5 linked regions of the Coturnix japonica genome follow. The protein of the gene in region 1 interacts with the protein of each later gene in a pairwise test. Links are inferred from orthologs where the notes say so. Each region holds a gene or a part of one and is shown in the gene's direction. Other genes may lie near its edges.

Evidence for each region.
Region 2: the proteins of FARS2 (region 1) and AGTRAP interact in binary tests that used the Homo sapiens proteins (3 or more experiments, as listed by UniProt). The two-hybrid records come from large-scale screens. The link is inferred for Coturnix japonica from reciprocal best matches to the Homo sapiens genes FARS2 and AGTRAP.
Region 3: the proteins of FARS2 (region 1) and RCC1 and BTB domain-containing protein 2 interact in binary tests that used the Homo sapiens proteins (3 or more experiments, as listed by UniProt). The two-hybrid records come from large-scale screens. The link is inferred for Coturnix japonica from reciprocal best matches to the Homo sapiens genes FARS2 and RCBTB2.
Region 4: the proteins of FARS2 (region 1) and MID2 interact in binary tests that used the Homo sapiens proteins (3 or more experiments, as listed by UniProt). The two-hybrid records come from large-scale screens. The link is inferred for Coturnix japonica from reciprocal best matches to the Homo sapiens genes FARS2 and MID2.
Region 5: the proteins of FARS2 (region 1) and APPL1 interact in binary tests that used the Homo sapiens proteins (3 or more experiments, as listed by UniProt). The two-hybrid records come from large-scale screens. The link is inferred for Coturnix japonica from reciprocal best matches to the Homo sapiens genes FARS2 and APPL1.

The regions. Positions count from the first base shown.
Region 1 is NC_029517.1:64,081,394-64,085,895, forward strand, and holds part of FARS2 (phenylalanine--tRNA ligase, mitochondrial), read left to right. Parts: intron 1-1,246; coding exon 1,247-1,407; intron 1,408-4,502. UniProt on the Homo sapiens protein: Is responsible for the charging of tRNA(Phe) with phenylalanine in mitochondrial translation.
Region 2 is NC_029536.1:4,899,324-4,904,477, reverse strand, and holds the end of AGTRAP (type-1 angiotensin II receptor-associated protein), read left to right. Parts: intron 1-920; coding exon 921-955; intron 956-1,160; coding exon 1,161-1,272; intron 1,273-1,891; coding exon 1,892-2,090; intron 2,091-2,312; coding exon 2,313-2,351; intron 2,352-3,612; coding exon 3,613-3,719; 3' UTR 3,720-4,349; downstream 4,350-5,154. UniProt on the Homo sapiens protein: Appears to be a negative regulator of type-1 angiotensin II receptor-mediated signaling by regulating receptor internalization as well as mechanism of receptor desensitization such as phosphorylation.
Region 3 is NC_029516.1:151,085,951-151,090,452, reverse strand, and holds part of RCC1 and BTB domain-containing protein 2, read left to right. Parts: intron 1-1,680; coding exon 1,681-1,821; 3' UTR 1,822-4,502.
Region 4 is NC_029519.1:1,714,816-1,719,317, reverse strand, and holds part of MID2 (probable E3 ubiquitin-protein ligase MID2), read left to right. Parts: intron 1-2,035; 5' UTR 2,036-2,091; coding exon 2,092-2,757; intron 2,758-4,502. UniProt on the Homo sapiens protein: E3 ubiquitin ligase that plays a role in microtubule stabilization. Mediates the 'Lys-48'-linked polyubiquitination of LRRK2 to drive its localization to microtubules and its proteasomal degradation in neurons.
Region 5 is NC_029527.1:6,321,831-6,327,029, forward strand, and holds the start of APPL1 (DCC-interacting protein 13-alpha), read left to right. Parts: upstream 1-1,846; 5' UTR 1,847-1,937; coding exon 1,938-1,991; exon of another isoform or gene 1,992-4,255; intron 4,256-5,013; coding exon 5,014-5,112; intron 5,113-5,199. UniProt on the Homo sapiens protein: Multifunctional adapter protein that binds to various membrane receptors, nuclear factors and signaling proteins to regulate many processes, such as cell proliferation, immune response, endosomal trafficking and cell metabolism.

The DNA.
Region 1 (4,502 bases):
TGACTCCCATCTATAACAAAGTTTGGGAGGGGGATCTGGGAAACTGCAGGGCTGTCAGCCTGACCTCAGTACTAGGGAAGGTTATGGAGTGTATCAGCTTAAGTGTGTTCACATGGCATGTGCAAGACAACCAGGAGGTCAGGCCTAGCCAACATGGTTTTATGAAAGGCAGGTACTGTCTGACCAAACTCATCTCCTTCTATGACTGTGTGACCTACATAGTGGGTCAAGGAAAGCCTGTGGACATAGTCTACATAGGCTTTAGTATAAAGCCTTTGACACAATCTCCCACAGCATTTTCATGGAGAAGCTGCTAGTGCTGATGCGGAAGAGTCAAGCCTGTCACACATGCACACATCCTTTTAGACTAAGTGTTTATTTATGAATTTGTTTAAATTTGAAAAAGCTGTGAGCCTTTGTGGAGCTGCTGGGCTCTCAACTTAGTTCAAAATCACTAGAATGATGCGTAAACATGGAGATGGCTCGTGACATTGGAAAAAAACTCACTTTAATAACTCAGTACCCTTGCCCTGTAAATGAAGAAGGTATGAATATTTCCTGATGGAAGTGTTGCATCATTAATATCTGTAACGCTCTTATGGATTAAATATTCTTGTCTTTTTGTGTTTAGAGCTGCATAAAAGAGACTTGTGTATGTGGGGGCAGCAGCTTTCTCCAGGGGAAGCATCCCAGGAGTAACCTGCATGGAGGTGTGATGCCAACGTGACAGGGCCTAGCAGCCCACTGCCCTGCTTTTCCCAGGTGCCTCAACAGAGGGAATTTTGATCCTCAAATGCTGGCAGTGATGTTAATGCCGCATGGACTTGGCTAGTCTGTCAGTCCATTTAAATATCTTGAATAGGAAATTCACATTTGCATATTTTGTTAAACAGTCAAGTTGGACATGAAATGCTAAGCTTGAAGGATAACAAAGAAAACATGTCTGTAGTGTTCTGCAGCCTTTCTCAATATCTGTCTGAAACTGTGGAACCAGAAAGTGCAGAGAGCAGCTTCATTGCCTATTGCAGTTCCTAAACCAAGTGATATGCCCTGTCTCACTGCTCATTCTGGTTGAAGTGTGATAGGTCAGTGACCTGTATATTTTGCATTGCTGATTACTTGTAGGCATTTCCATCTTGGCACTTAACATTTTTTCTTTTCTTAGGAAATAGGTGAACATTTTATCATTAATTTTTGATTTTGTGAGCTTAACCTCTTGAATTTTTTTCTTGTTTGTTTGTTGCAGCTGGTGCTCAAGATAAAATTGGCTGGGCTTTTGGCTTGGGCTTAGAGAGGCTGGCCATGATCCTGTATGATATTCCTGACATCCGACTGTTCTGGAGTGAAGATGAACGCTTCCTGAAGCAATTTATTGTACCTCATATTTCCCAAAAAATAAAATTCCAGGTAAATTAATATGTATGCAATAATTTTCTGTCAGTAAGAAGTGTGTGTGGGCCTAAAGAATATAATATAATTAAATATAATTAAAATTCTGGATCATTAACGTGTCAGGTTTCTCAACATAGCCTTTCAAACTATCACAGTTCTCTGATAATCTGATATTTATCCCCCTTGTGACGCAAGTGGTAGAAGTGCCGCTCTGCTACACAGAGGCTCGAATCCTGGGGGTTGGACTCGATGATCTCTAAGGTCCCTTCCAAACCGCACGAGACTATGATACTATGATACTATGATATGCAATAGAATCTGGCTTTTGATGATAACATGTTTTCAGCCAGGTAATGTTCTGAGTTACTGCTGATACTCCATGAATATCGTTGTTTTGAATAATACTTAAACATGTATTTAACTTTTAGATCTGTCCAGAGTAAGGACTGATACAGATGTGTGTCTGAATTGATTGTGTTCTTGAATTCTTTTCATAAAAACCTGTTTGATGCTGACGCTTCAACCATTATAGTATGTTTCTAATTTTCTCCTTAGTTCTCACTCTAAATTCATTGAATTTGATGTGAGTTGCATTGTTTAACAGTGATGAAATGCTTTCTGAACACGTACCGCCATCTTCAATACATTGGCTCTTTCCTCCAGCTGGTAGTGGTGGGTGAGAGTGTAGTGTCAACTTCTTTTGAAACTCCTCTTTTGAGACTTCACGTGCTTTTGTAGTTGGCAACTTATCTTATTTCTTGTAGTAGCAAAGTAGTCAAGCGTAAATGGATCAAGTGGAAATGCTACTTTCATAATATTCTTCAGTATCAGCACAGGAAGGCTTAAGTCAGCTGGGATCACTGGTCTTTGGGGGAGCTGAGCTGACAACTGTGTAGATGTCTGACAAAGTATGAATTAGTAGAGCATAAAAGCACTTATTACTGCTGCCTTTTACATTTTCCTTGGTTTGTTTGTGAGCAGCTTTATTATCATTTTTAAAAACTGAAAAGCTTAAAGGGAAAATCAACAGTGATAACGCTGAGGCAGTCATGTCAAACCAAAGATGCATCCATTTTTTTGTTCATGGCAGTTCTAGCACATCTTGAAAATAAGAAGTTGCATACAAACATATGAGATAACTTTACAGTAAGAGTGACAGAGCACTGGAAGAGGCTGCCCAGAGAGGTGGTGAAGTCTCCTTTTATGGAGATATATAAGATCCGTCTGGACACCTACTTGTGCAAAACAATGTATGGATAGATGTTTTTCTTTTCTTTTTGCTTTCTGTAGCACTATCATTAGGGCAGTCGGGTAGTGGTTACTGCTTACAGAAAGAAGACAGTTTTGCCACTTTTCCTAGTATTTTTCAGCCTGGCTGAACTGAACCAGTATGGATTGTATTTTCTGAGAGCCTTTTATTGCACAGATTTAATACTGCAGCCTCACAAGGTCTGGGTAAATGACCATCCTTCATGGACGTGCTACATGTGCTTAACTGTGATAGACTTCTCAACCTTTGGGTATTCCCCTACCTCTTTTTATAATCTGTGTGTTATCCACCAACTGGGGTATTTTTCTTTCTGTTCATTAAAATGTTCTTCAAACAGATTAAGACCATGGTGAGCAGCAGTCAGCTTAATAATAGCAGGGCTAAATATATTCTTGTTCTGAATGGAGTTTGATTTGAATTTTTTCTTGGGACATAAATGTATGTTTTGTGCCTTTAAGCAGCCTGAATGTGTCAAGCTTTTTCCTATGTCATCAGTTCCTCAACTGATGCATGTAGGCTTCAGTAGGTCAAAAAGCTACTGGGAAAGCTGACAGTGCTTGTACCATTGGGGTCAATCAGCACAGCAGTGCTAGAGTTCTGCTCCCCACAGATCAGCTTATGGTGTTGATTTCTATTACCTAAATCACTCCAGCTATAATTTGACAGAAGTCGCAGCAGCGTGTGGTTAGTTACTTGCCTTCAGTCACTCATGTGTAGGGCTTCTGTTCAGGCTGTGAAATGAAGAGCTAAGAATGGACAGGGCAGGAAAGACTAAGCACCTGCAAGGCGTAACATAGTAAAACAAATGGCTTGGATCTGATCTAGTACACTGTTATCTCTCTGCTCATCAGAGCTCTGAGCAGAGTTGCATGTAATCACTTTTTGGCCCATGTTGAACCTGCATTCTTAAAAGAAAAAGATATGTCCATGGGCTGACAACTTACAGGAAAAGGTACAAAAATGAAATGACATTTAAGGAAGGAAGACTCTCACAGTTGAGATGAAGTGCAGTGTACCCAGAGGTGTTGATTAAGATGAATGGGCTCTGGAGACAGGACAGTTCCTGGAACCTCCATCACTGCGCTGCCAGACCAAGCAAGCTGCACGGTGTGCCCACTGACTATTCTTCCCTCACAAATCACTTTCAGCTGATGCTCATGGTCTCTACTGCTGCTGCAGTTCTTTTAAATGAGTATTTTGATTGTAGATGAGTCTTGTAGCCCGGTCTCAGGTCTGACAGAAGTGTGTTTATGTTGTTATGAGGGAAGCACTGGTGCAAAGAGTATCTAATTCCAAGCTAAATGCAGACTCCCTAGGTGACATTATAAGGGTTCCTTTCTTCTCATTTTCTTTGTTTCTGCAATATCTACAATAACCCTTGCACCACCTACTTCTTAGCACTCTTATCAACTCAGGGATCTGCTACTTCCTTGTATCTGCTGGCACATGCAGTCTCCCAAAATCAGTTTCTTCCAAACAGTGTTAGCTTCTACTTGTAGCAGACTTTCTAACCACGATCATTTTAATAGAGACTGGATAGATGTAACTCCTAGAGAAGGGAAGAAGCATCTCCATTATGAGGAAAGGATGAGTAACCTGGGGCTGTTCAGCCTCGAGAAGAGAGAACTGAGAGGGGCTCTTGTCACTATTTATAAATATTTGAAGTGTGAGAGTCAGGTCCAATGGGAAGGATTCTTTTCAGTGGCAAGCAGCAGTGGAAGAAGGGGCAATGGGCACAAACTGGGACACAGGAATCTCCAGACTGACACAAGGAAGAACTCGTCTTCGCTGTGATAGTGATAGAGCACTGGAGTAGGCTGCCCAGAGAGATGGTGGAGTC
Region 2 (5,154 bases), on another chromosome or scaffold:
GGTGCAATCTGGGAGGAGGGGGAAGCAGCGGGTGGTGCTGGAGCATTTTGTAGGCTTTCATGAGCAATTAAAAAAAATAGTCATTATTAAAAACCTGTTTGAGCAGCGTTTGATGTTCAGGCGGTCTGTGCTGAATGCTCAGCAGATGTGATAGGGTGCTGCAGTGCAACCAGGGCTTTGCCTTATGATAAGATATCTATGTTGTGATATCTTGGCTGGACAGTCCAAGCCATTGCAGCTGCATCGCTCCTTCTGGTTTCACTCACGTCACAGCTTCATGGGTCATTAACTTTCCTGAAGCCACGAGTTCTGTGTGAAGTTAGAGCAGGTGTAGACATTTTGAGTCAATAAATGTGACAGTATTTGGGCACTAGTGTTGTCCCTGGAAGTGAAAAGAGTGGTGTAGCATGGCAGGATTGGGTCTTTAGGTTCCTAGAAGATGACTTCAGGTCTGTTAATATTGGAGCGAGGCAGGTTGGAAGGGGGTAAAGGGGAATTCACAGTGAAAATGCTGGGAGCTGCAGTCATGACAATTCATGGACTTCTTGGTGGTGGGATAGTAGATTGGTCATATATGAGCTGTGCTAGTTTAGTGTGAATTAGGTTGTCTGGCTTGACTTCTGGAGTTCCAAAATCAATAACACATTTAGAAAAGGCTTAAGCATGCCCTGAATCCACTGTCAGCAGTGATGATGACAGCAATGAATGACTACAGTGGAGCACAACAGGAAATACTCAGCAACAGAAGCAGAGAAAAAATGGTTTTGTCTTTGCTGGACCTGTTGCTAGGGTAGTTTTTTGCACTGGTTCCAGGGCACCCTCCTACTCTCTGTCATGGAGATGAGGTGGTATAATTTTATATCATTTCTCCCACAGTTTTCCCACTTGCTGACCTGTCTTCCTCTCTGTTTTTTCCATAGGCCATCATTCTGGTGCACTGGCTGCTCACAGTGTGGTGAGTGATTGGTAACTGGCCTGGCTTGAGAAGAGCTTCCTTCAAACTAGGAATGGGATGTTCTTGGGGAATCGGCACTCCCTGTTCACACCTGTGTGCAAGGAGATCCTAAGGCCAAGTGCCTGTATGGGAGCAGGGATAAATGCAAACACTGCTGCAGGCTCCTTGTGAACTTGGGTTGGGTTTTCTTTGTCTTGTTTGGCAGGGGATGCATGAATAACTCGTTTCCAGCCTCCTATGCTTGGGGGAATTTCAGTGTCCTTGCAGTGGGGATCTGGGCCATTGTGCAGCGAGATTCCCTTGATGCCATCGTGATGGTGAGTGTGAGGGCATTTGCCTTTACCTGGCTGCTCAGGGAGAGGGTGGAGGGCAGAAAGGTTCCTTTGAATCAGTATAGTGATGATCTTCAGCTGCTCCCAGTGCAACAGTGAACAAGTCAAACTCTTCATTTATTTATTCTTGTCTCCCCAAGGGAACCTGGCTTCTACTTAAGCACTATAAACTGTGGTGAGAAGCATTCACTATCCATTATTTTGCTTCTCAGGGGTAAGGCATACTTGGTTCTTATTTTCTGCCTGCTGTTGTCGCTTTCAATGCCAGAGGAGGATTCAGACTATTTAATATGCTTGAGTTAGAGATGTCTTTAGAGATTCCCTTCTCTGATCATTAAAGAAATTGGCAAGCATAAATAAACAACCCTGGAACATACTAGTAGAAAGCGTCCAGCAGATGTGAAGAAAATACATGATGTATGAGATCATACGATAATCTGTTTACCTTGGGGCTGTGTCAGGGGTCATACAGAGGTTTTGTGTTATACAGAGGTGAAAGCATAACTGTGTGAATGCTGATCTTCTAGTAGATAGAACCTATAACTGGCTGTTACTCCTGGTAGTTAATTCCTCATTCAATTCATGTCCTGTTCTCTCTTTCCAGTTCCTGTCCGGCCTGCTGTTCACAGTCCTCACAGACATCATTCACATCTCCGTCTACTACCCTTTACATGCTTATCTCATCGATGCGAAGCGTTTCAGTATGGGCATGGCCATCTTCAGCCTCCTCCTGAAACCCGGATCCTGCTACTTTGTGTATCGAATGTACCGGGAGCGTGGAGGAGAATACATCTTCAACATAGGTAGGTTGCTTCCTCTAGATCAGTGTGGGCCACATCCTCTGATGTTAGAGAAGGCTGCTAGGGAAGAATTGTACCCTTCAGCCTCAACCGTGTGCATCTGGATTCTGCCCCTCTTTCCAAGGAGAAGAGGATGACCTCTCTCTTCCTCGTGTCTGTTCTCACTTTTGTGCTCCTGCTGAGTCTTAGGCCTTAAATTTATATTCTTCCTCTCTTCCCTTGCAGACCTGGAGTCCTCGTCTGACAGCCGTTTTGCCTACAATGGTATTGATGCCACTGCTGTCACTCTTACTCAGTTAACTCAGGTTTTTCCTCTCTTCCTGCATTCTGTGCGCTTCTCAGAAGCCTTTGGGTGTCCTTCTCACTTTGTCAACCTTTTCCTTCTGTGGGGAAGTAAAGGCATCAATCCCTTCTACCTGGGAATTATGCATGTGAGGAAAGGGTGGGTTTCTAACTCTGTGTCCTAGCTATCTTAATTGTTGTGGACTGCTGTTTCCTTACCTGGGAAATGGGACTGACGTTTACCTTCTGCTGCTTTGTGTGGAGGCACTTGTTTTTCCTCCTGGCTGTAGTTGCTAGGAATAATGTGGCAGCCCTGCCAGAGAGAGGTGTTATAGTTGGGTATTCTGTCAGCTTCTTTGCCAAATATTCCTGGTGCTAGTTCATACTGGGGCAGCTGCCAGAGAGTGTTTGCTGTGTGGGAGTTCATCTTGGCAAAACCAGCAGCCTAGTGCAGTTGTCTTTTTCTTTCCTGAGGCTCTGTAGGACAAAGGGTGGTATAACTAGCACTGCAGTGTTTAAAAGCTGCCACTTAGACTGCGTTGGTGTTAGCAAAAAAGATGAGGCTTCTTGTGAAAAGAGGTGGATGCTTGTAGAGAAGGAGAGGCTGTCAGAGGAAAATGGTGGCTTCACAGTATAGTTTGCATCTTGTAATAGAAGAATGTGGATGTTCTCTCCATCAGCTGCTTGGGCAGATGCTGGCAGGTCTCTCTTAGCTGGCTCAGAAGGCCTGTGTGCCATGTCTGTGCCAGTTTTTATTAGCTGCTTACTCTACTTGTAACTCAGATTTGATATCTGTATCCTATAGAAAGTATAGGTGAGTATTCTCCCTTCTCCCCATGCTACTCCAGCACAGGCATGATGTCAGAATCTCTTCCCAGGCACAAGCTGGAATTCACTCACGTAGTATTTTCTTATCCTCTCCTGAAATGTCTTTCTCACAACATTCTCAGTACAAACCATGTGCTGTTGTTTTCTGTTGAACGTGGTTGACAATTTTTCTCTTTTCCTACTAACTGGCATTTTTCTTTTGAACTTAATTGTGATTTTCCAGGTCCTCTGTCTTGTCTTTCTTTTGAAACAAAAGCCCTCTTCACCACTGGGCAGCATCCTCACTGTGTAAAACAAGCCTGTTGTGGTAACGTGGCATGCCACTCAACTTTTGGTTTCTTCTAAGAGATTCCGGGTGGTTTTTTTTGTGCTCATTTTATTTTATTTTTATCAAGCTGGTTCTCTTCTTCTTCAGGTCTCAACCGTGCAGGCCGGGACCGCAGCGCCTATGAGACAATTGATCAGCAGGATGCCTCTCCACTGTGGCCTGACTCAAGCAAGACAGCTCAGCAACCATATTGAGGCCCCTGTCTGCAGCAGAATGGACACCTCCCTCCCCCAGTCCAGCCTTACACTCCTCCCGTGTCTATTCTGATGAAACAAGACCTTCTACTGAGCAAACAGAAGAGGATCTGATTTGACTTTTTCCTTCCTGAAGATTAGACAGAGGGGTTCTTGGAGTGAGTCCGGAAGATCTCAAGTGACTTTAAGCACTGTTTAAGCTGTTTAAGTGCTGTTTAAGCTGTTTGTAATTTCAACACACTGCTTTCCTCTCTCCCCTTGAATCCCTCCTATGTATGTGCAAGTGGATGCACCTTCTGCATTCTACTAAGTCTTGTATTGTGCATCCTCTCTATTCTAAGTAAGGGAGATGCACAGGATGTTCCTGGGCAAGCTATCTTTAACAAGCTTAAGGACTGCCCCTAAAACAACAGTTCAACCCGTTTTGTTGTTGATATGTTTCCAGGAAACATCTGGGACTTCTTCAGGGCTGTTTTTGATGGTGTTTTATAATTAAGATTTATGACCATAACTCCCTGTGCTAGCTGTGGTGGTTTACGTGCAGTTGGGGTTGGTATCAAGTGCTCCTACTGGGCCAGGGAGCATTCACTGATGCTTTTATGGAAGTAAAATGTTCTTCAGGATACTTAATGGCTGCTAAATGTTGATTACATATGTTCTGTGCCTTGAAATGTCCTTTTGCCTTCAGCTGCCTGTCTTAATAGGACTTAAGTGTTACACTTTTCTAAGAAAAACATAAAATGAACACAGTTCTTCTGTGTTAGAAAGAAAAATTACACTGGTCACCCATGTTTCATTTGAAAACACTGCTATTCCTGAGGCTCTGGGAGGGTTATTAGGGGGCAAGGTCTACAAGGCTTCAATGGCTCTGTTGTAAGCATTAAGCAAACATGTGGAAGGTACCGCATGGAGATGTGTTGGCAGTGAAGGTGAGTGAGTTAAAGGGCTAGGGAAGGGAAGAGGTGGGTTTGTGGTGAGCTCTGGAATGTGGCAAGCTATAAATGTAGATCTTATACACATTAAACCTGCCCTGCTGTGGCTTTCAGGGGGAAATCCTTACAAATAAATGTTCAGCAGGTTTTGTCAGAAGAAGGAAAGATTGTCAGCCTTGGCTGAAGAAAAATACAAGAGCTGGGAAGATGTGTGTTTTTCTGAAGCAGGTTCACTTTCAAGGTATGCATTTGTTATTTGAGAATTGCATTTCTCTGACAAGACCTGATGCTGTGTTGACTCTTCAATGACCAAAAGCCCTGTTAACTTTGCTCTACCCCTTAGGAACATACCATTTGTATCTTTAAAGGCAAGCATTTTTCTTTCAAGTTTTGTCACTCCAAACATTAGCAGATGCTTCGTTCCCTCTACAGCACCAGCATTACGATGGCCTGCTGCTGTGCCTGGACCAGTGTTGCTTATGCTTGGCTGAACACACAGTAGA
Region 3 (4,502 bases), on another chromosome or scaffold:
AGCAAAATCCTGGACCTGCTGTTTGTTAACAGAGAAGGTCTTGTGGGGGATGTAAAGGTTGGAGGCCGTCTGGGGCAAAGTGATCATGAGATGGTAGATTTCTTGGTCCTTGTTGAAGTGCAGAGGGGAGTCAGCAGAACTGCCACCTTGGACTTCTGGAGGGTGGACTTTGGTCTCTTTTAGACCATGGTTGAGAAGGTCCCTTGGGAGGTAGTTCTTCAGGGCATGGGAATCCAGTAAGGCTGGGAATGCTTTAAGAAAGTAATTTTAAAATGTAGGAGCTGACAATCCCCAGGTCACAGAAGATGAGCAGTTTGCAAATGATACCAGGACCTTGGTGTGCTGATGGACAGGTGGCTGAATATGAGCCAGCAGTGTGCCCAGGTGGCCAAGAAGGCCAGTGGCATCCTGGCCTGTATCAGGAATGGTGTGGTGAGCAGGACTAGGGAAGTCATCCTGCCCCTGTACTCGGCATTGGTGAGGCCTCATCTCGAGTACTGTGTTCAGTTTTGGGCACCTCAGTACAAAAAGGACATGGAGGGGCTGGAGCAGGTCCAAAGAACGGCAACAAGGCTTGTGAAGGGCTTGGAGAATATGCCCTATCAGGACAGGCTGATGGTGCTGGGGCTGTTTAGTCTGAGGAAAAGGAGGCTGAGGGGAGACCTTATTGCTCTCTTCTAGTACCTGAAAGGTGCTCACAGTGAGATCAGGGCAGGTCTCTTCTCACTGGTGACAGGTGACAGGATGAGGGGAAATGGCCTCAAGTTGAGCCAGGGTAAGTTTAGGTTGGATATCAGGAAGAACTTCTTTACAGAAAGGGTTGTTAAGCACTGTAATAAGCTCCCCAGGGAGGTGGTTGAGTCACCATCCCTGGCTGTGTTTAAGAGCTGCTTGGATGTGGTGCTCAGGGATATGATTTAGTGGAGGGCTGTTAGTTAGGGTAGTGTGGTCAGGTTGTGGTTGGACTTGATGATCTTTGAGTTCTTTTCCAACCTGAGCAATTCTGTGATTCTATGATTCGATGTAGCTGATATATATATATTTTTTCATTGTATCCATTTTAATCCTGCTTTTGCTTGGTTGTAAGATGCAGGATGGTGTTTAAAGCAGATGCTTACATAAGATGCATTGATAGACTGTTCCAGGCACAGGAAGCAAGTAGGAAAAAGGAACTGAAACAAAAACTGAGATGAAATATTGCAGTATGACAGCAGTGTAATAATGAGGTGTATGTGTGTAGGAGTTGCAAAGAGGAGGCTGGAAGTTTACATTGAGTTTCAGAAGGCACTCAGGAATAACATCTGATTAGTAGACTATAAGAATACCAGCTGCTGGTAGAGTAACAAGGTCAGTCTTAACCAAGGTATCAAGGCTAATAAGCAGTAACAGAAGGTATGAACAACTGAGACCAAAGAAAGGAATTGTGGTTTCAGTGTGCTGTGTTGGCAGAAGCCTGGTGTAATCTGTATCTTTAATTAAAGATACGTGTAAGTGTATTCTGAAGTATTTACTTTGTATTTACAAATTTCATCCTATCATCTGCCATCTAATGAGGCTGATCAAAGAAGGGTTGGTCGCTCGTATGTTGTCTGTTTATTAAATGATGCGTTTGGAATGGGAGAATGATGATAAATTTGCTGTCAGTCATTCATATTCTCAATAAATTCTCTTTCTTTTCAGGACTTGGAAGAGTTTTGTTTCAGATTTTGCATAAACCACTTAACTGTTGTAACACAAACTCAAGGCTTTGCAGAGATGGACCACGATCTCCTGAAAAGCTTCATTAGCAAAGCAAGCAGAGTGGGAGCATTCCGAAATTGAGAGCTGCCCACCACCAAGCTGAAGAGCGCGGCCTCATTGCTCCTGGGAATACCTTCTCCACTGGAGGGCTTTGAAGAGAGACTCGGCGTCTGCTGGCTTGGGGAATGCCTTGAAGTCTGCTGACATACTGGTTTGAAAAGATGAGAGCAGCATAGGCGTGTAGGGAGAGCCAGCATTCAGAATCTGACAGCAAAATCTAACACAGTAACTACCCTTTCCCACTTTAAGTCAAGCAAACTAAGCTGTCATTACTGTGGCTATTTTGAGTATATTATTTTTATGTAAACAACCTGTAACTGGATTTTATGGAGCAGTGACAACCTTGCTGCTACAACTTTGATAGCACACTTCTATCACCAAACGAAGTTAATAGGCCATAGTGGGCTGCTTTGTGCCAGCTTATGCAGATTAGGGACGAACTTGGTTTCTGAGCACATGAAGAAGTGCTATAAATTCTTTAGGATGAGAGGCTGAGTGGTAGGAGGTTTTGTCTCACTGTATGTTTATTTGCAGTGTAAATACCAAAACTGTGAAGAGCTTCAGCTGGATATTAGAATATGAAGTTGCTGGCCATTATGGCCACTGTTTTGGACCATTAAGAAACCTCTCCGTTACACCAGACACGTTCCCTGGCATCCCAGTGGGATGGCAAACAGGATTTGTCCGGATGTGAATTGTGGCACTGTGTGTTTCAGCACTCAGAAAACCATCTCGTTGCTTATTAGAAGGAAAAAGAAACCTAAACAAAACCTCAAGGAAAGGGAAGTTCCACTGAGATTTGCTCATTGAATCCTGTTTCACTGCCTGTCCCCCAGTAGGCCATCTTATAAAAGTGGAAAAGAAGATAAGGTGATAAAATGGGCCTTAGAATTAACTCACAAATGCAGAACTCAGCTACTTCCCACATGGCAGTAAGGACAGCCTGCTGAGTGTGTTGTTTCAGGTTCTCCTTTGGCAGTGCTGCAGCACCTCTCCAGGTGACACCACCAGTTGTGTTCCGTGCCTGTGTCAGATGAGACGAGTTGTCTGCTGGCCATTGAGGCGGGTGGGATGGCTGAGGCGCAGTAGGTACTTAATTAATTTCTAACTGATTGACATGTGCTGAGATAAAATCCCACCTTGTGTTACACATATGAAGGGTTGCCCTCTTACAGAAGATGCTGAGCTTATGGAGCAGTTCCTTGGAACTTTAACAGTAAATTAACTCTGAGAAATGATTTCTCTTCACAGAGCAGGAGGGGCAGCTGTAAATGCCCACTGTGGTATTGTACAAAACTGGGTGGCCAGGTTCAGTGTGCTGGTCTATGTCATGCCACCTTCACTCAGGCTCATGCCCTGCTAGAGTCCTCTGGTGACTTATTCCAGGCTTCAAATGTGATTTCTAAGAACTTAATTCCCTTAAATGATCTCAGCCTCATTTCCTCCTTTCTGCAGTGGAAATTACTGTCCTTGGTCATATCAGAGAATTGTTTCTTAAGCTGTTGTATTCCTGGAGGAGAAGGAAGAGGAGAAACAGTTTCTCAGAGAAGAGGAGCAAGGAGTTGCTCTCGTCACATTGGTCTCTGCAGTGGTGATTGGATGGGTAAGGCGTGCACTAGGAATATGTTGTATGGCCTACTGCTAACGAGCTTATTTTGCCATCCCATGGTCATACAGCTTCCTCCAGCAGCACTGAACCTTACTTCAGTTGCTGTGTCAGTATTTCATCTTCAAATAGGACTGGTCAAAACTTTCTACTACATATTGCCATCTCATCAAAACCACAACTTCCCGGAGGGGAAAATGATGTGCTGTGGTAATCCCGTCTTTAAAAGTACTTGCTGCAGGCACACAGATGAGGCTGTTCTCAGGTGAGGCACAAGTTCACTGTGCTGTAGCCCAACACTAATAATATCCAGAGAGCAGATAAAAGGCAACACTGTGAGCCAAGGCTGGGGAGTTCCAACCTGTTTGATTGAGCCAGGGACAGCATGAAGTCTCAGTCCTTTGGGCCTGAGAACTGCCAGCATCACCTGCCAGCATGGCCTTGGCAGCACGCAGAATCAGGTGACACTGCTGCAGCCCTGCTTTTGGGTAGCAACTTGCATGGGCAGATAGTGATAGGACGAGGGGAAAACTAAAAGACGTTAGGTGTTAGGAACTTCAGTGTGTCTGACAAAGGTCGTCATCTTGAGAGAAGGCATCTCTGCACTGAACGAAGGTGACTGTGGGTGTATGATGGCAGCGTTGGCTGTCCCTCACGCCACACGTACCGTTGGTCCTGGATGTGATGGCATTGTATTCATAGAGACTGCTGTTTATTTATTTGCTAACTTTTGTTTGCATGCACTTTCCTTGGCACTTAATGGTCAATGTTTAAGAAACATACAGGCGTAAGTGGTTAAACGTGGCTGCGTGTGCGTAGATGTGCTTAAAACCTTCTTGTGGGACATCCTGGAAGAAATGCAAGATGGATTTTGCCACTGTACCATGGTCTGCAATGGAGTTAAATTGTGGATCCTGTAGGGATCTTTGCTTAAGAAAGGGAAACACAGAGTGGAACTTGCAAGGAAGAGACAAGACAAGAAGCTGATCGCCTCCAGGTTCAGTTGCTGAATAGTCAGCACTGCAGTGCTGTGGGTAGTCGTGGTACTGAGTGAGTGAGCTGCTGAGTCACTTCCATTGGCCTTCCTTGGACAACC
Region 4 (4,502 bases), on another chromosome or scaffold:
TGCAGTCCTGGAGGAAAACAAAGGTTAACGTGTGTATGGCCGACAGGGCCAAAGCAAAGGAGGGAGCTCAGAGGAGAGGATGCTGTGCTCTGCCCTGAGCATCGCAGCAAAGCAGCGGGGTGAACTCTGTCTGCTGGGCGGTTTGTGGCACTATGGAGCCTGCAATAAGATTGCTGCAGCATTTATGATACACGAAGGTCCCATTACTTAATGTCATGAGCCCCCTGAGCAGGAGAAGCTCGAGCTGTGTGGGGTAAGGAGGGCAGGCAGAGTGCTATTGGTGTTTACTGCTGGGGAGCAGGCAGAGCTGAGTTAACAGGAGGGGGTGCAGAGAGGTGAGAGATGCTGCGCGCCCTCTGCAGTTTGCATCTGGGATCTGTGAGCTCCTGGGTGATGTCTGCCTTCTTTCTTGGGGTAGAGGTGAGCAAAGACAAGGCAAGCAATGGGTGCAGAGGGGACACAACATGCAGCTTCTTCCGGGATTTTTCTTCCTGAACTTGTGGACTGAATTGGAAAGCAAAAGCTGGAAGCCATTGAGGGCTCCCGGAGGGGTGGCTCTGGGACTCCATACACACCTCCCACCCTTTGGGTACCAGCACTGACATCCCATGGGCAGATTACCTCACAGGTGTCCCCTGTACCACAAATTTCAGTGACCCCCCCCACCCCCATCCTTCCCTTTCTATGCATCCTTGGCCGCAGTTTGCGTTTTCCACCGTGGATCATCCCCAGCAGCCGCAGTGCGGGGCTCCCCCAGCCTCTTCCCACCTAATTAAACGCTGCCTCTCATTTGCAGGAGATGTTTCCGGGCTGGTGCCGAGCCTGTGCACTCACATGCTAATTCTGAGCAGGCTCCTCCTGCGTGTTCCTGCACCGCAGGGAAGCAGCGGGGCTGGCTAATTGATTGCAGTTTCACCAGCGGCACGGGCTGCTCGCCTCTAATACAGAGCAGACCCGGAGGAAGCCCACCACCGTGCCCCTCCTCATTAATTAGTCCTTGCTACCGCACACAGCCGTGCTGAAGCTGGAAGAAAGCATGCGGTTTCTCTTGTTAGCACCCGGCGGGCTGTTATTCTCTTCCACGTGCAAGCTTGCATTTTGGGGACGCTCAGGCAGTGGCTTGAAAGGAGCTCAGTGCAAGCCTGGAGCTGCTTTTCCCCCAGCTGGAACTGATTAGGGCATCTTTGGCTCGAGGACAGCTGAGAGCCAGGAGTGTGCAGCCTGTCATTTGGCTGTTCTTCCTTCCCTGCTCCTAGAAGTGGGCAGCTGGGAGTGTTAGACTTCGGGAACCACTTTGCTCTGTTCCTGGGTTGCAATTTGCCTCTTGTCCTTCACCAGGATGAGGAGGGGATGTGCAGCCACCGGGGAAGGTGTTCATAGCCTGGCTTTGCCCTCGCAGGCATGGGAAAGCAGCACGGCCCCTGGTTGCTTGCTTTTAGCAGCATGGAATCATGTGGTTTCTCCCATTTTTGTTCTTGGCTGCACTGTTCGAGTCGTCCTTCCTGGCTGGAGAGGCCCCTCCTTGTGCTCCCAGTGCATCTCCCATCCTACAGAATTCCCTCACACTGGTACCAGCTGGGGGCCAAACTGGGGAGCATTGGGGTGCCCAGAATCATTCAGGTTGGAAGAGCCTTTTCAGATCCCCAGCCCACCCCACTGTGCCCATCCCCATGTCCCTCAGTGCCACGTCCCCACAGCTCTGGGACACCTCATGGGGACCCCACCAATCACTGGGCAGCCGTGCTGTGCATCACTGCCCTTTGGAGTCTTACCTAACACCCAACCTGACCATCTCCTGTTGTAACTTAATGCCATCACGTCTTATCCTTTCACAGCTATCTAGGAACAACTATGAGACTGACACCTCTGCGTAACCCCAATGCTCCCTAGGCAGCTGTGCTGTGCATCGCTGCTCTTTTGGAGCCACAAAGCTGTGCAGGTTCCCTCCATCACCAGCAGGTGTTGGTGACCTCTCGCTGGGAAGGAGCTGCCTAGCTTTGTTTCTCACCCTTCAACTCTGCTCTCCCCCTGGCAGGTCACAGACCAGCTTTCCGGGGTTTTGACACTGGATTGGGATCGTTTTAACTAAAGATGGAAACACTGGAGTCCGAATTGACCTGCCCAATCTGCCTGGAGTTATTCGAAGACCCTCTGCTTCTACCCTGCGCCCACAGCCTGTGCTTCAGCTGCGCCCACCGCATCCTGCTGTCCAGCTGCTCTTCCGGTGAGAGCATCGAGCCCCTCAGCGCCTTCCAGTGCCCCACGTGCCGCTATGTCATCTCCCTCAACCACCGCGGCCTGGAGGGCCTCAAGAGGAATGTGACCCTGCAGAACATCATCGACCGCTTCCAGAAGGCGTCACTCAGCGGCCCCAACTCCCCCAACGAGAGCCGCCGCGATCGGCCCTACCGCCCCAACCCCACCATGTCGGTGGGAGGCGAGAGGATTGCCTGCCAGTTCTGTGAGCAGGACCCTCCGCGGGATGCTGTCAAGACGTGCATCACCTGCGAGGTGTCCTATTGCGACCGCTGCCTGCGGGCCACGCACCCCAACAAGAAGCCCTTCACCAGCCACCGCTTGGTGGAACCCGTGCCCGACGCACACTTCCGTGGTCTGACCTGCCTGGAGCATGAGAATGAGAAGGTGAACATGTACTGCGTGGCTGACGACCAGCTCATCTGTGCCTTATGTAAACTGGTGGGGAGGCACCGGGATCATCAAGTGGCATCGCTCAGCGATCGCTTTGAGAAGCTCAAGGTAAGGGGTTGTGGTGGCTGGGGTGTGCTGCGGGGACCAGCGTGGTGTCTCTGAGGTGGGGGATGGAGCTCGTGGGCTCCTCCAGGTTATGTGTTTCCAGGGCTGCTTTGCTGGTGAGAAGCTCTGCTGCTCATCAGCTTCCTTGGATGTGGATGGAGAGATTGGGGAGTGCACCCATGCTCAGCAAATGGCTTGGAAATAGGAGTGCTCTGTTAGAGTCACTGGCCTGAAAAAGGATTTGGCTTAGCAGTAGGTTCCCCACGGCCAAACTTTATGCTTAGGTGAGAGGTGAGATGGAGCTCAGAGGATCCTCATTGCGAGAAAGATACTGAGGCATTGGAGTGTGCCCAGAGAAAGGCAATGGTCTGGAGCACCAGCCCTATGGGGATGAGCTGAGGGAGTGGGACACCTGGCAATGGGCGTGCCACCCCCAGCACAGTGCCGTCCCAGCAGTGTCACTATGCTGCATTCCCCATCCTCATACCCACAAGCTGCAGAAAGGAGCGGTAGTTTTCCAGCCCCCTTCACTCCACCCTGTGCCTCCTATTGATCCAGAGTGAATCCCTGCTCCGTGCTCACAGAGAGCAAACTTCAGGCAGCCCTCTGGGGTGCTCCAAGCTTCATTTCTATGCAGCGCCTGTGCCGGGGCTGAATACCATGTGAACCCGTGTGGATGATGTTTGACCTATATAAAGTTAGAAATCCCTCTCTGTCCCCCACACATCCGCTGTGAGTCTACAAAATGCTGTAAATTCTCTCTGTCTTTTCTTCTTTATATAAAAACCAACAGAGCTGGTCCCATCCGGGGTCACAGCAATGGGGCTGTGCCTGCGGTTGTGTTCCAGTTGCAGCCTTTCTCCAGCACTTCTTCCTCAGTCCCTTCTCCCATGATGTTCTGGGCTTGTGCAGCCCCACAAGTGCTTTTCTTGTCTCATTCCCTCTTTAATCCCTCAGACAACATCGATTTTTCTGCTCTCGTGTTTCCTGAGGGCAAAAGAAATACTTCCATCACTTGCAAAAATGGAGATGATTTCTTCCTTGCGCTCCGGGTTGATTAGAAAAGGGAAGAACAAAGCTTTCTCTCCAGGCATCTGTCTTCCTAGATGGAGAGTTTCCCACGAGCTGCTTCCCGGGCAGGTTTCCCACCTGCCCTTCCCAGATCCTCCCAGTCCTGTGCTGGTGACACAGCCCCGCGGTGTGCCTCACCTCCGTGTCCCCCTCTCTGCGCCAGCGCAGTGTTCTTCCCTTCAGAACATTCTTTTTCCATGAGGAAATGTCTCAATTAGCAAATTGGAAACCTTAGAAAGGAAGGTCCGTGACTGTTTGCGTGCAATAGGACCCTGGGACAGGACTTAAAGCCCTTTTCATATTTCCCCATCGTGTCGGGGAGCCAAGCAGGCTCATGTGAAGGCAAAAGCCCTGACAAACTAAGCTGCCGCTCCAACCAAATCTGTGTGTGCTGCCAGAACAACTCCCCCCTCCCCATGTTTAAATAACAGTCCTAAGTGATTTTGGATGAGGAGGGAAGCTCTCTTCTGCTATAAACATTCCCCTGTGCTGCTCATCCAGCACGGGCGGATTCCTTGCTCTCTGGCAGAGCTTTGCAGGCACAGTGCTCCAGCAGCCTCCTGTTCCCCCTTTCCCTCTTGCAGGTGGGAATTGCCAAGGTAAGGAGTATTTGGGGATGGACATAATATATGAGCATCTGGCCAGGGCTGCAGGATGACTGCAGGGTAACCCTCCTC
Region 5 (5,199 bases), on another chromosome or scaffold:
CAACTACAAAATGGTGAAGGTTTGGTTTTTGTTTTTTTGTTTTTTGCAAGTGTACATTAATACTTTCAACATAATTTATTTCAAAGCACAACTGAACACAGTTCGCTATTCCTTGGTAAGTGAAAGCTACTTTGATTAAGTGAACACACATAAATTCAAGGTAAATCCAAGGGTATCAGAAGAAACAGTACGCTAGTTAACAGATAACATGCAAATAAATCCTACCTGATCCAGACGGCTAATTCCACTCTCCAGCAGAGCCAAAGTTCTCTCCATTAGGGGGACACATCTTTAATCCTTGTAGGCTGCTCTTCTCCCTGTTTATATAATGCCAGCCATTAGTTCTCCACACTTACACTGCCCCTCAGTATTTTGTACAAACAAAGTCATCCACACTAAGAAAGTTTACAATTCTTATAGAAGTGTAACACTAAAAACATTCCCATTAGTGGATTCTTATGAATTCCTCAGTTTGTTGCTATCCAACCTCCTCCACTGCAGCCAAACATATATCCCAAATAAAACTTCTAAATGCCTTGTGTATCTTCTCACAAATATCATAACATACAAGGCTACTGGGACATCACTGACTGTTTCCATGTAAGGAACCTATTTAGAAACCTAACTATGAACTAGAAGAAGCCCTGGTATATTAGAGAACAACCAGAAAGGGCTCTCTCTTGCTACTAAAATGAACTGAAACATTAAGATAAATGGAAATACGAACACTACACGCCAATTGAGATACCAAAGCACATTCTGACATGTTAAAAACTTGTCTGTTACTATTTTGTTTTGATATAGAATCACAGAATGGTTTGGGTTGGAAGGGATTTTTAAGCTCATCTAGTTCCAACCCCCTGCTATGGGCAGGGACACCTCCCTCTAGAACAGGTCACTCAAAGGCCTTTGAACACCTCCAATGAAGGAACATCCACAACCTCCCTGGGCAGCCTGCTCCATTTCTGCACAAGTTTCAGTTTTTTAAGTGCTTTTCTTCCCATTCTATATGAGCTCAATAAATGCATCTTTCCTGTCATTTGCAGCTGTAAAACTGCAAAGGTGATTAGAAATAATTACGTTTAGAGTTCTTTACTACCTTTCTGAGTTCTGCTAGGGGAATGACACTAACATATACTACAAAATAGAGAGCAATTCTTACAGAAGACTGCTGTGAGAAACTGGTCAACAGTTCACAGAATCACAGAATTACCAAGGTTGGAAAAGACCTAGAAGATCATCTAGTCCAACCATTACCAAGTTCACTGATATCAAAACTAGAAAGTTGTGCAGGTGTATGTAGGTCACGAGCCAACGCTGGCATTGCCTGCTCATACTCATGGATCCAGTTAGAGCACAGTAAGCAAATGACCAAGATACAAGGCTTAGCCTTTAAACCTAGTAAGATAACTCTATATACATCTCTCCAAATCACAAAGCTGTAAGAATGGCAATTCAGGAGCGGTTATTTCCCCCTCAGTGTAACAGCACACACCGACCTGGCTCAGCCTAACGAGCTGCCACAGCAGGAGCGGTTGGGATGTCCACAACCTGACAGGACGTTGTGGCGACACACAGGTAAGTGGTGGCACACAGGTAAGCACCATCCCGAGGTAAGTGCCAACCCAAGGTAAACGCCATCCTGAGGCACGGCGCCCATCGCGCGGGCTCAACCCGAACCACACGACACCTCCCTTCAGACAGCCACCGAGGCGGGCACAGAGCCCACGGTATGTAGACAGACTGAAGGCCCCGCTGAGCAATAAGAAGCCGGGCAGCTGGGCTATGGAGCCAATAGTAAAGGCAGGCGGGCGGCAGGAGGGAGGGACATCCTGCTCGGGGCGGGGACAAGTGTTTGCTGCCGGGGGGGCCCGTCCAGCTGGGCGAGCTGAGGGAGCGGGAGCAGCAGCGGCGCAGATCGGATCCCTGCTGCCGCCATGCCCGGCATCGACAAGCTGCCCATCGAGGAGACGCTGGAGGACAGCCCGCAGGTGGGTCAGGCGAGGAGCGGCTCCATGACGGGAGGACAGATCGGGCTCGACTCGGGGCTGCCAGGCCTAGCGCGGAGGCCCGGCCTTGTTTTGCTGCATAGTTTATGCAGATGAGCAGCAGTTCCAATGCTGTAATAGCATATTCAGTGGTAGCTTTGATTGCTCGAGCATTGAAACTTTATTTACTAAACAGAGGATTTTAATCCCTATAATAGCGGTGACAACAAATCTAGATCAATGGAGGGACAGCTTGGAAGAGAAGGCTGTGTAAGAGGTGTATCATTGCTTTCCATAAGGCAGTGTCCCATATAGCCCCGATACCAGATGTTAGACAAGATCTGGTTTGCTGCACAGACTGTGGCCTAGAGACTTGACCTGATCTGGACAGGTTTTCAGGGCTGAACTGTGCACTGGAATTCAGTACCATTAGACATGTTTGAGATGCTGACTTCACTTATATAAACTCCAAATCAGACTTACTCTGCAACCAAGCTAAGATCTCTTAAAGGGTGAATAAACCATTGATTTCCTTTTGGTGCGGGGTAGAAATCAAACCACTGTCTATTTTCAGAAATAAACCAAGTGACACTTTATGTTGCCTTTGATAAGCAAGGCAGCACAGTTTAGTTGTACACACATTCAGTGTGCAGATATATGTGTTTAGAGAGTTGCTGCTCTCTTATTTCCAAACTATTGCACCACAAAAAACCCACAGGACTCAATGGCACAGGCTCCATCTCACGTCTCTTTCAATACAATACGTGTGATGACATGAATTGTTTAACAGCTCACTGACTTTCAAACAGGTGGTTTCCTTGTGCAGTTTTGTACTGGTAGCTTCTGGTGTAGCAGCTGATCCATGTGTGATAAAACATCGTAAGGAGCATTAGAGCTCCTCAGTTTTTCACTGGAAATGTGAGTGAACAGTTCCTCCATTTTTTTGTTCAGCAATATCTGTCAGAACTTCTCAATTTCAGTTTTCTTTCCATCGCTATAATTACACTGTCAGTTTGAAGTCAATAACTGATATTTTAATGATAAAACCCATAGAAATGCTTTTACTCCACAGGGTTCTGTATTACGGAGTATTAGAGAGTAAGTATAATCCGGAAATCAAACACGATAACACTTTCAAATTGCAGGGTCAGGTTTGTTAGTGCTTGGTTTAAAGGTCATGAGTATATAAGTCAGTCTTTATGGTATTTTTTTCTGCTGCATTCTTTCATATCTGAAGACTCACAGCTATTAGGATGATGCAACACATTGCCACACCTGACAACCATCCGAGCTCTCCACCTCTTTCCTCCTCCACCCAACACTTCTTCCAGTTGTTTTGTAAACAAGAACCATCATTAAAGTGATTTGCTGTGTTGGTAATGCTGTTTGCTTATTCTTTCCCCTTAGGTGTCCTGTAGGAGTTATATGGTATGATCACATCTGTGGGACAACCACTCATCAATTTCAATTAAATAAGAGGCTTTCATGGTCAAGTGATCAAATAACACACTTGATAAGTGTTTATACAAGGGCAGATGGACTACATTCTAAGGCACATTTCAAGGTTTTATTACCGTGTTTTGTATGCAGTGCAATCCAGTGCTTTACGCTGGTCTCACCAGAGAGATTTTCCTGATATCATGCATTGCTCTCTTATTTTCTTCCCAAGCCCCGTAAGTTGCATCCATTCCCAGTCAGGGAAGCTACAGGTACTCAGCTTGAGGAAGGCTAAGAAAGAGAATTAACAAGTGCTTAAAACTGACAATTTGTGGGTTAAAAACATCTGTTATGTCATCACAATTCTCTTCATTTTCTGTCTGCACATTAATTTTAGTATGGGCCTAAAAATGCACGGTCTTCTTGCCAGTAATTTAAGAGTTAAAGGTTTATTTTGTGGGTTTTGCAAGTGATTGGCCTTGCATCCAAACATCACAACCAATATTTAGTGCAATACTACACAGTGTTTCTTAGGAAGAGCAACTGTAGCTCATGCAGAGTTACAGCTACATTCTCTGTTCTTTCCCCTTTTGCCAAGCTATCTGATAACCTTATGGTTAGGAGTAAAACTGCTTCCAGATGCAGAGATGAAAGAGCACTGAGTGAGCATTTTAATTCCTCTTAAGGGCAAATTCTCCCTAAGCAACTTGATTGTCTTCTTGTTTAGCCAGTCATTTCATCAAGAACGTCATTCATGCCAACTTACCAGAGGATTCTGATCTGTCTCCAGTAATTTCCTTCTGGCCAAAGCAGGGAGGTACAGACTGCAACTGGGTAGAAAAAAACAGCGGAACAGTTAGCCCTAAAAGTTGGTGATCGGTGTTTTGAACTCCAGTATGTGGACAGCAGTAAAGACAGCAACCACTTCTAAAGTTACACAGGAGGTGCATTTGTGGGTGGCACCAGTGAAGGGCAGGCTGACTGATGGGCTGGGGACAGCAGACAAAGAACACAGCTCACTGGCAGGTGGGGCAGAGAAGTGTGTATATTAAGAAAATGTAGATTCTATCAGTTTGATTTGGTTACTTTCAGTTCTTCAGCTTTTTGAGCACAGAATTGGCTGCTATTGCAGACATGAGTTACATAGCCCAGCACAGCCAGCAACTACTCATACAGAAGAAGGAGTGCTAGAAAGCCACAGCTGTTCTTTCTCAGAAGAAATGTGTACCTGGCATGCTGCTTAATTCCAGTCAGTTTTCCTTGGGGATATACCATAATGATATACCAGTAGTAGCTCACAGTTCCAACGCTTATAATTTATACTTATCCACATCTCTTGGTGCTGTCTGACTACATACTCCTTTAACCTGGAGAGAGGCTGAGCAAGACTGAGCTTGGATGTAGTTTTAAAATACATTCTGTTTTTTTTCTAATTCTGTGATACACAGCACATAGCAGTGGATGCTGTGACAGTGGCTTTATAAACTTCAGAAAGGAGATCTGCAGCACTGCTGCTTAACTTGGAAATTCTCTTGCATTTAAATAGTTCTTTGCTAACATGACACATTGTTCTGATTCACTGTTACAGACCCGTTCCTTGCTGGGAGTGTTTGAAGAAGATGCTGCTGCAATTTCCAACTACGTCAATCAGTTATTTCAAGCAATGCATAGAGTGTATGATGCGCAGGTACTGTTAGAGAATTCCTGAATGCATTACAAAGCTTTTGAACCACATTTTATGTCTCTTCCTTTTTTGGAAAAATTTATAAGCAAA